Linked DNA regions of Neodiprion lecontei. The protein of the gene in region 1 interacts with the protein of each later gene in a pairwise test. Links are inferred from orthologs where the notes say so. Each region holds a gene or a part of one and is shown on either strand. Other genes may lie near its edges. The genes, in order: protein deltex and beta-arrestin-1.

The links.
Region 2: the proteins of protein deltex (region 1) and beta-arrestin-1 interact in a two-hybrid assay, tested with the Drosophila melanogaster proteins (2 studies listed by BioGRID). The link is inferred for Neodiprion lecontei from reciprocal best matches to the Drosophila melanogaster genes dx and krz.

Annotation. Positions count from the first base shown.
Region 1 is NC_060264.1:2,162,142-2,168,388, reverse strand, and holds protein deltex, read left to right. Parts: upstream 1-1,996; 5' UTR 1,997-2,300; coding exon 2,301-2,452; intron 2,453-2,930; coding exon 2,931-3,138; intron 3,139-3,244; coding exon 3,245-3,514; intron 3,515-3,662; coding exon 3,663-3,951; intron 3,952-4,025; coding exon 4,026-4,347; intron 4,348-4,429; coding exon 4,430-4,784; 3' UTR 4,785-4,789; exon of another isoform or gene 4,790-5,411; intron 5,412-5,488; 3' UTR 5,489-5,726; downstream 5,727-6,247. Other genes in the region: ubiquitin carboxyl-terminal hydrolase 30 homolog, read right to left, coding at 1-193, 310-476, 548-706, 891-990.
Region 2 is NC_060263.1:23,041,444-23,046,458, reverse strand, and holds the start of beta-arrestin-1, read left to right. Parts: upstream 1-1,972; 5' UTR 1,973-2,533; intron 2,534-5,015.

The DNA.
Region 1 (6,247 bases):
GAATCGACTTGGTGGAGGCTGTCATTTGATCGGGAAGACAGGTATTGTGTACATCTGATTCTCGAGCCTCATCTTTCCTTGTAATATCGTTGCAAGACACACTTGTCCGCATCCCAAATGGATCGCCGGATCCCCTAATATCGGACGTCACAGGAATGTCAGTTTTAGGCAAGGCGTCCGACAGACAACCTTTCTGCAATTAATATCCAGCTGTTAGTTAAACTGGCACTTTCAGTCTTTCAAGAGCCAAAGTCATATTTGCATTCCTTATGCTGAAAAGGAAAAAAAAATTCTTTGCTTTGTACGCACTCTGTTAAGTGGCTGCATTTCAGCCTGCAGAGCACCGAGTACAACGTGGAATAGCTCGTGAGCATCTTGGTGTCCAGGTGTGAAGATCCATAGTGGTCCAAGGGACGTTATTATTTCAATTGGTGTTACGTCTCCATATATCATTTCGTCGCAGAAGCCATTTACCTCTTAACAATAAAAATCATTTACATATTTGTTACAATTGTTTATGCAGTACTCAAAACGAGAGCAAGCTTACTATCTAGAATGGAGAGAAGGCTCCGGGCAAATTGGCCATTTTCATTGTTGACAAGCTGCGTCCGAAGCCAGCCGACAAACATTGGACACGCTGCTAGAGACTGGAGAAGCGCGTTCATGAAACAAGTGTATCCTAGATTGGTGAGTCCAATAATTTGGCCTAGAATAACGACAATGACATAAATTCCAAGAGGAATGATTATAGGTAAACAAGCTAGTTTTTTGAGTAATTAGGATAAAACGGGCAACGGTTCATTACTGTATAATATTAAAAATGACTTCATCAATTGAAAGACTTGTGAAGGAAAGGAGACAATCGTCGATCGCTACTTGTATGCTATTACCTCTTCGCCTAGGCCTAGGCGAAGGTCCCCAAAGTACAAAAGCGCCGATAACAAGGGCAAACCCGACACCGGCGACCATAGCAATTTTCTCAACATCCATTTTGCGTAGAAGTTTATAAGTTGAAGTGTAGAAACAATATTAAATATTGTTAGATATCCAGCAGAAACGGTTATAACCTATTTGTGATATATCGTGTGAGAATGAGCTGCGTTATTTCATTATTACAGCAAGTCTTCATCGCCCGATCATTTCACCGCATAGTTCATTTGCCTAAGACACGATTTGAGACGGCTACTTTGCCACTTCTCTGTTTACAAAATTTTTTCTTGTATTTTTAATCCACAGTACGGGTCCGACCCGAATTGTGCAGAGCCGTCTCCGACGAACGGTGAAGTGGTCAATGCTCAATACAAATGGGCAATGACAGCCTTGCCAACCCTTCGAATAGAAATTCAGGAATCGGAAACGCATACTTGGCTCGTTGGAAAAAAAATGTAGAGCAATGAACCCTATCCATGTTTTGTAAATTTATGAATTACGCAGAGCCGTTACACTTGATCATCTCGAATTCGTAGAAAAAAAACGACGTGAGCTCTGCATTCTGACTTTCGAATCTTACGAGATAAATGTAAAGAAAAAAGGGTCGACAGGTGTCATTTATGCCATGTTTAATGTATACATGTGCGTTGTGTACCTATGTGTGCATAACACTATGCATACAATCGTAACGTATAATGCAGGAATTTAATTCATCAGATTGTTAACCGTAATCAACTAATTCGATAAAGGGAATAGTTGACAATGACAAATGTGCACGGAAACGTTTATCATCGTATAACGTGCATTGCAATTCTCAAGTGAAAAACAGTGAGAACTATAAAATTGTAGTAAATTCTCTCCTCGGCGTTAAGCCTGGCTAGGGGAGTCGGATGCTGGGAAGGCTGGGAAGTGACAAGTGCGCTTGGAGGAAGCAGCGTCCATCCTTTTCTCTTTTAATTCTGTGCCGACTCCGGTGATTTCAAGTCGATTGTTCAGTCATCGAAGGGTAAATGAAACAGAGCGAGAAAACGGATCGCCGTTACTTAGCGAATAACCCGTCGGCTAATACGGAGTAAACTGAAACTCCAATATTTACGTTCTCGTTACGCAGACGTATACAAAAGGATCGTGGAGAGGGGCGGAGGGGAGGAGGACAGACAACACCGATACTCTCTACGGTGTGCGGGCGGAGCTGTATGAATTCGAAAAATGTTCCCACGGTCACGTCGAACCGAGTTGATCGCCACGTTCGTCCCAGTTCATCTTTCGCGGCGCTCAGCGTCCTGTGAGAGCGGCCTTGACCGTTGACCGTTCTATTTACACCATTCTCATCTTCACCCACTTCACTCGAACCTGAAGGATCGAGGAAGATGAGTGGGCACGCAGTCGTCGTGTGGGAATGGGAAAATCGACAAGCTAGATGGAGGCCGTACAGTCCGGCGGTTTCCCAGCACCTGGAGAGAGCCCATTGCAAAAAACTTACCAGGGTATTCTTGAACGACGCAGATCCGAGCCTCGACAGGTATGAGAAAATAAAATTTACACTAAAATGGCAATGGATCATTTCTATGAGCTCTGTCATTTTTTTTTACCATGCAGCTTGCTTTGTATTTTAATCGTACCCTGATATTCATATTTTATCTAAAATCGTATTTACCGTAAAAGATTAAAACTGACCCGATCTTACCCCACCATTAGATGCTACTTGGAACGATTCTCTATTGAAAATTGGAAAGTTGAATTCTTCCTTCGTTGAGTTACCAAGAGAAGATGATATAAATTATTGAATAGTCTAAATATTTCAGCTCGATTGGTTCCACGATGCTTGGGATTTAATAATAGCAAGCTTGAGAATTTCGTTCCCTGAAAAATAGCCACATATTTCTGCGTACACACTTGTATTCTTCTCAGTATTGCTTATTGGGTATTGCAAGGTCTTCTTGCTAGGACTTGATTAGTTTTCGGTGTATTTTTCCATCTGTTATGAAAAAAAACGACAGTTTCGTCTGTATCAGATACTACATCAATCTGAGGACAAAGACGCAGTGCAGTGACGATGGCACGGAAACTCATAACGTTAGGAGAAAATTTTACTTGCCTGGATCACCGGCAGGAAAAGGTGCCAAGTGGGAATGGGTCGGTGACACTGACGATTGGCACACTTACGACATGGAGGTCCAGTGCCTCATAGAGGAAGCATGGGCACGGGTGCGTTTAAAAAATTCTAAGATGTAACTTTTCTGGTTCGAATATTTATAAATCGTATAAGAGCAATATTTCTCTTAATTAATTTATTACCTTTTGATTTTTCCAGGGTGACAAAACAATTGACGTTTCCAAAACATACCTCGGCTTTCCTTACATAATAAATTTTTGCAACCTTACTCAAGTTAGATGTTGCACAGGTTATGTACGCCCGATCAGACGTATACAGCAGGCACCGTATCCTTTAGTGAAAGTTGCGCTTGAGGAATTGCCACCGACTACTGGAAGAAGAGGACTAAATGGAACTGTCAAAAATCCACATGCTAAACCAACACATAAGAAATTACCCAATGGGACTGGAAAGAAGAGTAGCAAGAAGGTAATGCAAAGTGCTCGATGATTGATTAGTAAAGTAGTTGAATCATCTCATAAAATGGGTTTGAGAAGAACCTTTGAAAGCTTACATCAATACTAGAGTCAAAACTTGATCAGAACCTATAATGATTTCAAGCATAACATTTTTTTAGGGAAAACATGGCGATACAGGACCAACAAACATCGCTCGTGTGATATTGAATAACTTGAATATTTTCGGTAATAAGCATGCGGAAAACGTGCCAGTAGAAAGCACTACAGAACCAGTTCAAAAACGCAAGACACGGGATTCCAATTTACTAGACATTGATTCAAGCAGCACCAAAAGTGGTCGGCGTCCTAGCGTTGATACAGTATCCACCTATCTCAGTCACGAAAATTATGTTGATTTATTAGACAGCAGTGTAGGGAGTGACGATGCCTTCAAGGATTCAGTTATTGGTGAGCAAGAAGCTTACTCAACATATTGCAAGAAAGAGAGTACATCCAACATTAAGGCCAATCATTCGTTTCAGGCGTTGTAGTCGAAGCTCCTGATGTCATATCTCAGTATGTAAGGGTGGTTGAAAGTGCCGGTGCTGATTCGTGTCCTGTTTGTTTGGGCTCTCCTGAGCCTCTGACAGTCGAGTTGACTCGCTGCAGACACAGGTTACACCTAGCGTGTCTAAACGCAATGATTAGTTCACAACAGCAACCAATGTACATACAGTGTCCAGTGTGCCGATTGATATATGGAGAAAAGAGAGGAAACCAACCTCCAGGGACAATGAATTGGACCAGAATACCGCGGTCTCTTCCTGGATTCCCGAACACGAACACAATTCAAATAACTTACGAGTAAGTAGGCGTAACATTCTCGCAAAACTGACTTGATTTCATTCGGTTTTCTCGATTTTACGCGTTTCTTGTTGGTTTCTAGCATTCCATCAGGAATTCAGGGTCCTGAGCACCCAAATCCTGGCCAAACATACTACGCAGTTGGCTTTCCTCGAGTTTGTTATCTCCCCGACAACGACACAGGCAGAAAAGTCCTAAGACTACTGCAAATCGCTTTCGAGAGAAGGTTGATCTTCACCGTTGGACGGTCAGTGACTACGGGCCGAGAAGATGTCGTTACCTGGAACGAAATTCATCATAAAACTGAGTTAGGTCCGTCGACCTTGGGACATGGGTATCCCGATGCTTCATACTTGGAACGAACGCTCGCGGAACTCGCGGCACAAGGAGTTTCCGATGGCCAATCAGTGACTGGTTTCTACCAAGAGCTTCATTGACTCAGGTATTTCGACGTTTTCGCTTTGCGAAAATATTCTTTAGATCAGGGTTGGGCTGAGCAGCTGTGCAGTTAAACTGACGAGAAAAGACTGACTGAACAAGAGGAAACAGTCTGCCAAACAAGAAATCAATTTTTTTTCGTGGTGAATAAATTCTGGCGAATATTAATACTATTTGGGACATGCAAGATGGTCTCAACAATGCCTTACGTATTATACAATAATTATCGTTGGCGTAATAGCTTTAATTTGCAATTCAATATTAATAGCTTTATATTATACTTACATATAAGCGTGAGAGCGTGTGCGTGTGTGCGTGTGCGTTAGCATGTGTGTGTGTGTGTATTCCGCACATTTTTTTTCAAGTTTTTTGAAATATATTTCTCAAATTTTGTGTAGTTAAATGGATCTGCAGCATTATATTCGTGCGGTTGTTTTTAGTCTGCTATAATCTCGAAATGTTAATTTACCTTGCGTTAAATTTTAAATGGAACAAAATACTATGAGGAGAATGGTGATCCGTGCTTCCAGAAAAATATTATATACTATATACATATACGTAGATTTATACTCCATCAAAATGGTATTAATGAAAATAGATATATAGATATATTTATGATAGAAATATATTAAATAAATATAACAATTAGTATAAAATATACAAATTACACTTTCTCATCAGATTGTAATTTAACTAATTTCAGATTCAACCAATAACCAACCTTTTTCGTTCTTCCTGTATGTACCTTGCGAGTGCCGTGTTTGGACACTAGCAGATATTGCACAAATTTCAACATACTGACAGATACTTCAGTCAGGTTGGCAGATAGACGGCCAGGGTCTACTTAATCACAATCAGAGAAGGGACCCAAAGCTTTGGAAAGTCTGAGAATTCTCCGAATAGTGCAAATCCCGCAGAATTCAAAGCAGATACAAAAACAAGTACATTCATGCTATATCTAATGATTTGGGATACTCAATTCTTTATGGTATACTCCAGTAGCGTTTTTTGGTATCAGTATAGCCAGATGATATATGCCAACACAGATACGCATTATCGGGAGTATTATTATGAGCTTGAATTCTGAGTTGAAATTTAAAAAATACATATTTTAATCGGCCCAAACTCGTGAAGGATATCGAAACGACTTGGACACTTTTTGGTAATCCGTGGTATAATTCAAATTTCTTGGCGCCGAGAACTGCGGCAACTCGGCAAACATACGTGGCGATGTTCGTTTGCAAGTCATGCGTATATAAATTACCAGTGAGTTAATTATTACAAAAGTCAGGGAGTGAGAAAAAAAAAAGAAATGGCAGAATGTTGACAATTGATTATGTCTCCATAACATCATTTAAAATGATCGCCCAACGGTGTGAAGTAAGGCCAACTCTATCACATTGTGATCAGGGGGACTCCAGATATGCTCAAGATGGCCGAGGATTGATTTTTCTGATTTAAA
Region 2 (5,015 bases), on another chromosome or scaffold:
GAATGGTTACTTCGTTTGTGCTTAAGATATCATACCGGAGATTGTACAGTTTTAAATTAAAATTGATATCAAAGTCCTCGGATTGTCAGTGAGCAGTTAAGAATCGAACGAAAAAACTTAATGGAATGAAATATTAAAATCTTTAAAATGTTCTCCTATTTGTCCATTCGGTTTAGTCGCGGGTGAAATGAAGCATCATGGGTATTTTCTAATTACGAATATCATGCTAATAACATTAGTTTCGATTCTCTTGTTATTACACCGCCATTTTAAGGAGCTAATTTCTTTCTGCAGTCAAGATTTTTACAGAAACTTGAAATCATGAATGAAAAATTCCTTATTGGAAAAATATCCGATCTCGATATCACAGAGAAGTATCGCATTAATTAAGTCTCCAAGCTATATATCCACATAAGCAGCAAAGATCCATGTTCTGTAACCATATGTAACGTAGCTACAAGCAAACCAAATAGAAAAGCTGTACCCTGCTAGGATATTTCTTTATTTACTCGAAAACATCCCAATGTGCAGGCTCTTATTCGTAAAAGAGATATTCACTAGATAATTGCCGTGGAGAGGAATATTCAGAACAAAACTAGACTTCGTAGTCATTTCCAGAATCATTAATTTCTACAAGTAAGGAATCCCCCGATAGGATGCTTTCGATCAATTATCCTGACTAAACTTTGATAAGTGATCCAATTTCAATCTATTAATAGCTAGCAGGATTTCGAACGAAGTTTAGCAACATCCATTTGAAACACTCGCCTTTGGAATTGTATCCAATTAATCAATTTAGAGTGCAGAATTATGGAGTATGTCTACAACTGTGCCAAATGGACGTCCGAAATAGAGACAGTTTACATTTACATAACTTCAATTGTGAATGAAATTTAGAAGTCTGGTCAAAGGTCCATTATTTTTTTATTGATCATTCTTGTTACAAATTGTGAAACGATACATCGACATAGTTTGACAATCTGTAACAAGAATAATTTGACTGAAGAAATATTCTTCAGTACCATGATGATATAACTGATATGTTCTTCAGTCAACCTAGTTATGTCGTCCGCGTATATTTCATATTTTTTATTTTCTCATGTAAATTTGGTAGTAAGTACGATTAAAACTTCAGCACAATATTTGAAATAGAGAATCCCTCGAATACTATTTCCTTTTAAAGCAATTTCCACGGTTTCCCACAAAATATATTTTCGATGATTATTTGAATTACCCGCGGTAATGGATAAATTGACTACACGCAACAAAGAAAATAACACGGTATCCAGTTAGTATAGGAAGAGATGTTGGTATCACTGATCTCTACTATACACTGGTATAGCTCTGTCTCTCTCCCATTTCCGGACACGTCAGCGCCGTATGCGTGATCCACGCTCTATGTCCATGGTGTATGTAAAAACTGCATGTAGTATAACTGCACCAGAAACCTAAGATAACGACTGTGTACTAGTGCACAAATGCACACATAAGGCAAACAGTATCTCCACTGAGAAAATCCTTATTTAGTGACATTATATTATACACAAGGGGTAAATAATAAATTAACGATGAACAAAGAATTCATGCGCTGAATATCGATTCTCATAACTTTTATAGACAAAGAAGTGTACAGTAAAAATAATTTACAGATCAAATAACAGTTATTGACATCAAATTAGAGCTTTCGTAAAGTAAGTAGACGTATGTTTTCTTTCGTCCGTGACCATCGGCGGCTCGTGCAAGCGGTTACAAAGAACGGGTCAGCGCGCGTAGCGAGTCAGCCAGGGCGCATGTATCACGTTACGAGTTACGCATACCAGACGCACACAAGGCGATGCACAAGGCATCAGCATCGGCCAGCACGCAACTGGCGTCGCGGCAAATACGTTGCGAACGAAGTTAGTCACTTGACGGCGGGGGGAGCGGCCGGAGGGCGGAGGGAGGGGGTTGCGGTCGATATTCGACTTGAGCGGTGGCTCGAGCGGGACTTGGGAGGGAGAGGTTAGGTCAGTCGACACTTTGACAGTAATAAACCGACGCGAGAGAACATATCCGCCGTGCTCCGAGACGCTGTCTTGCTCGTTCCGATATATCAGAGAGAAAAATAAGATCTCGCACAGCTTCAAAGTCATATTAATCTGCGGCGGTTGTCGCGAAGCGAGTCTTTTTTTTTTTTCACGACAAGGTTATGTAAAATCTATCCTGTGGCGCCAGCATCTACGGCGCGGACGTGACGTATCGAGGAATCGAGATCACTTGTTCACAGTAATCAGAGTCGGGATGTGTATCTTCGCTGGTTGATATCGTACCTTCCGTACTCTACGTACGTTTTGTGTTTGAAACATACAAACGCGTAGTTTTGTAACCGTTCGACGTATCGATTAGTTGTATTTTTTTTTTTTTTTTTACAATAAACCCGATGCCGGTGCAGTGTGAGTTCATCGAGTGTTGAAACTGTGGTGCCGTTCGCCTATGAATTTTCATTGCCGATCGCAAAAGGGTGTGGAACTACGGGGTCTCTAGGACAAGTTAGGTGAGTCCTCTCCCTCGCTCTATTTTTGTTTCACTACGTTTATCGTTTAGGTACATAGATACTTTTTTTTTTTTATACCTTTTTACAAATTTATTTTATACACGATTTTCATCGAGGTCTATCTACGCCTGCATGCTGTTCTTGGTAACAACTGAGTGACGGGCAAACAACGTTTGACGTATGAATACTATGAATGTATGTACGTCGCCGCGTTTCGTTGTGATTTTTTACTCGTTTCTTTCAGTTTCCTCGTCCCCATGATCCCTCGACCGACGACGTCAGACGCCAGAAATGCGCTGTCAGAATTCTCGGAATTTTTTTCAACTTTGTGATTATCGCCCGCGAATAGTACTCGTCCTACCCTACGTTACTCAATACGGCCTCTTAGGACGGTCGAGGGTTATTAAACAAATACTATACATATGCTCTAGGAGGCGTGGCGGGACCGAATAATTAATTTCGAAATTTATATCCAATTGCGCGCGAGATTTTAATTAACACTTTCAAGGAGGTGTCGTTTCGCATCAACAAATAAATCTGTCGAAGCTTCGGAATTCCAAGAATCGGAATGACGTAGGTTTCCTTTTATCACAACCACCAGTTTAGTTTGAGGAAAAGGCTGATTAGATCGCACCTGATGACAAATAGTAATGTCTTTTTTTCCAACGCTGCCGGAAACAAAGTGAAACACTTAAATCTTGCTGACAGTGAGGATCTTAACTTTATTATTATTGTTATTATTATTGTTGTTGTTGTTGTCGTTGTTATTATTATTGATACCGATATTATTACTATTATAATGCATCGCGGTTATGTTTAACAAAAACAGTCATCGCACAACCTACGTGAGTAATGAACTTTACCGCTGATAAGAAAATGAAAACGTCGACAGAAATATAAAGAAACAAGAGGGAAAAGTGAAGAGGTAGAAAAATTCTTCTATTGTATGAGAAATTAGTCGAAGGAATCAAAAGTGGTGTAAAAAAAGGTATACAAAGACTTGACCTACCCCAACCTGTTAGATGCATAACGTGGGAACTTCCCACGAAATCCATAGAGCTGCTACTACTTACTCGAAATGCACGAAGCGAGTGTTAGAATGCTTCACGTAACATCCTCATTCATCCGTTAAGAAAGTGTAGGATGTGTTTGAGATCGGTTATAACTGAATTCACATAGCCGAAATACTTCGTACCGTGGGAAAATTCGGAGCCTACGGTACTGTGCGAACATTTTCTTAACGTTTACATGTTTCTTCGGAAACCTCATTAGGCGTTACTTAATGTGGTTGGTTGCCCATAATTCGAAATATTTTTATTAAGTTTACTCCGAGATAATCGCACATTTACTGTTTGTCAAATTATCATATTTGCAAGCTACGAAGATTTCATGAAAAATATAAAAATATAAAATGTTGGAAACATTAACAACAGCGTGGATATCAATGCTTCGTTTCAAATCGCTTCGAAATGGCTAAGAATATAATAGATCTATATTCGATTTCACTCTACGATGGTTCGTTATATTTAGAAGACTTTCGCTTTTCACAAATTACAATACAATACGATATTTTAGCGATATTGATTATGATCAAAAAATGGCAATATCGAGTTGAGTAGTGTAAAAATGATCTGTTTTATTGCCTTTGTAGAAAATATAGTCTTTTGAATGAAATGAGCCCGTCGTAGAATGAAGTCTATTGAATAGTTGAAAGCATCTCATAGCAACAACTCGTACATAATTCGTACAACTCTCACGGCGTGGCAAAATTCCTTGGCGCCGGTTAAAGCTGACTTAACCGATATTGTGAGTCAACTGAGCATAATTGGGAATGCACGCATCAAATTCTTCCTTAACTTGAAAGAGGTGGAAGTTCGTAGCGTTTCACTACAATGCGAATTCAGAATTAGTTGGAAGTAGTTGATATTAAAAAATATGACCGTGATTTGCTTTATTGCGGTTTGAAATTGGTGAATTTCAAACAATCCTAAAATTTCTAAATAAACGTTTCTTTCGACAACGAACCTTATTAATTTGAATTGCTCAATTCCTCATCATCATGACAGGTTATAGGTATTGTCGTCTCTTTATACCTGTGTACACACAAATGTAGATTTACGAAACAAATCGTGGGCTGTAGACTTTTGTCATCATTCAATATACAGTAGCAGCATAATGGACAGCGGAAATTCATAAAGTAATGATAATAGTTCGTATTTTGGATACCGTATCAAATGCGAGTATGATTATCGTAACAAGTATGTAGACACGTAAGTTATGGGAAATTCCATATCTCGAATAACCGTAGACTACTTTCCCTTCGATTGCTTTTCTGTGTCGTATTGTTATCGAAAATCTCTAACGGAACAGCAGAACATTCTCAAATCTTTTTCCGGAATCAGCCTGAATTTTCTAATGTTGAGATATGACGATTCATTATTCTAAAAAATTGTTATTACGGATTTTCCGAAATTCAGTAAAC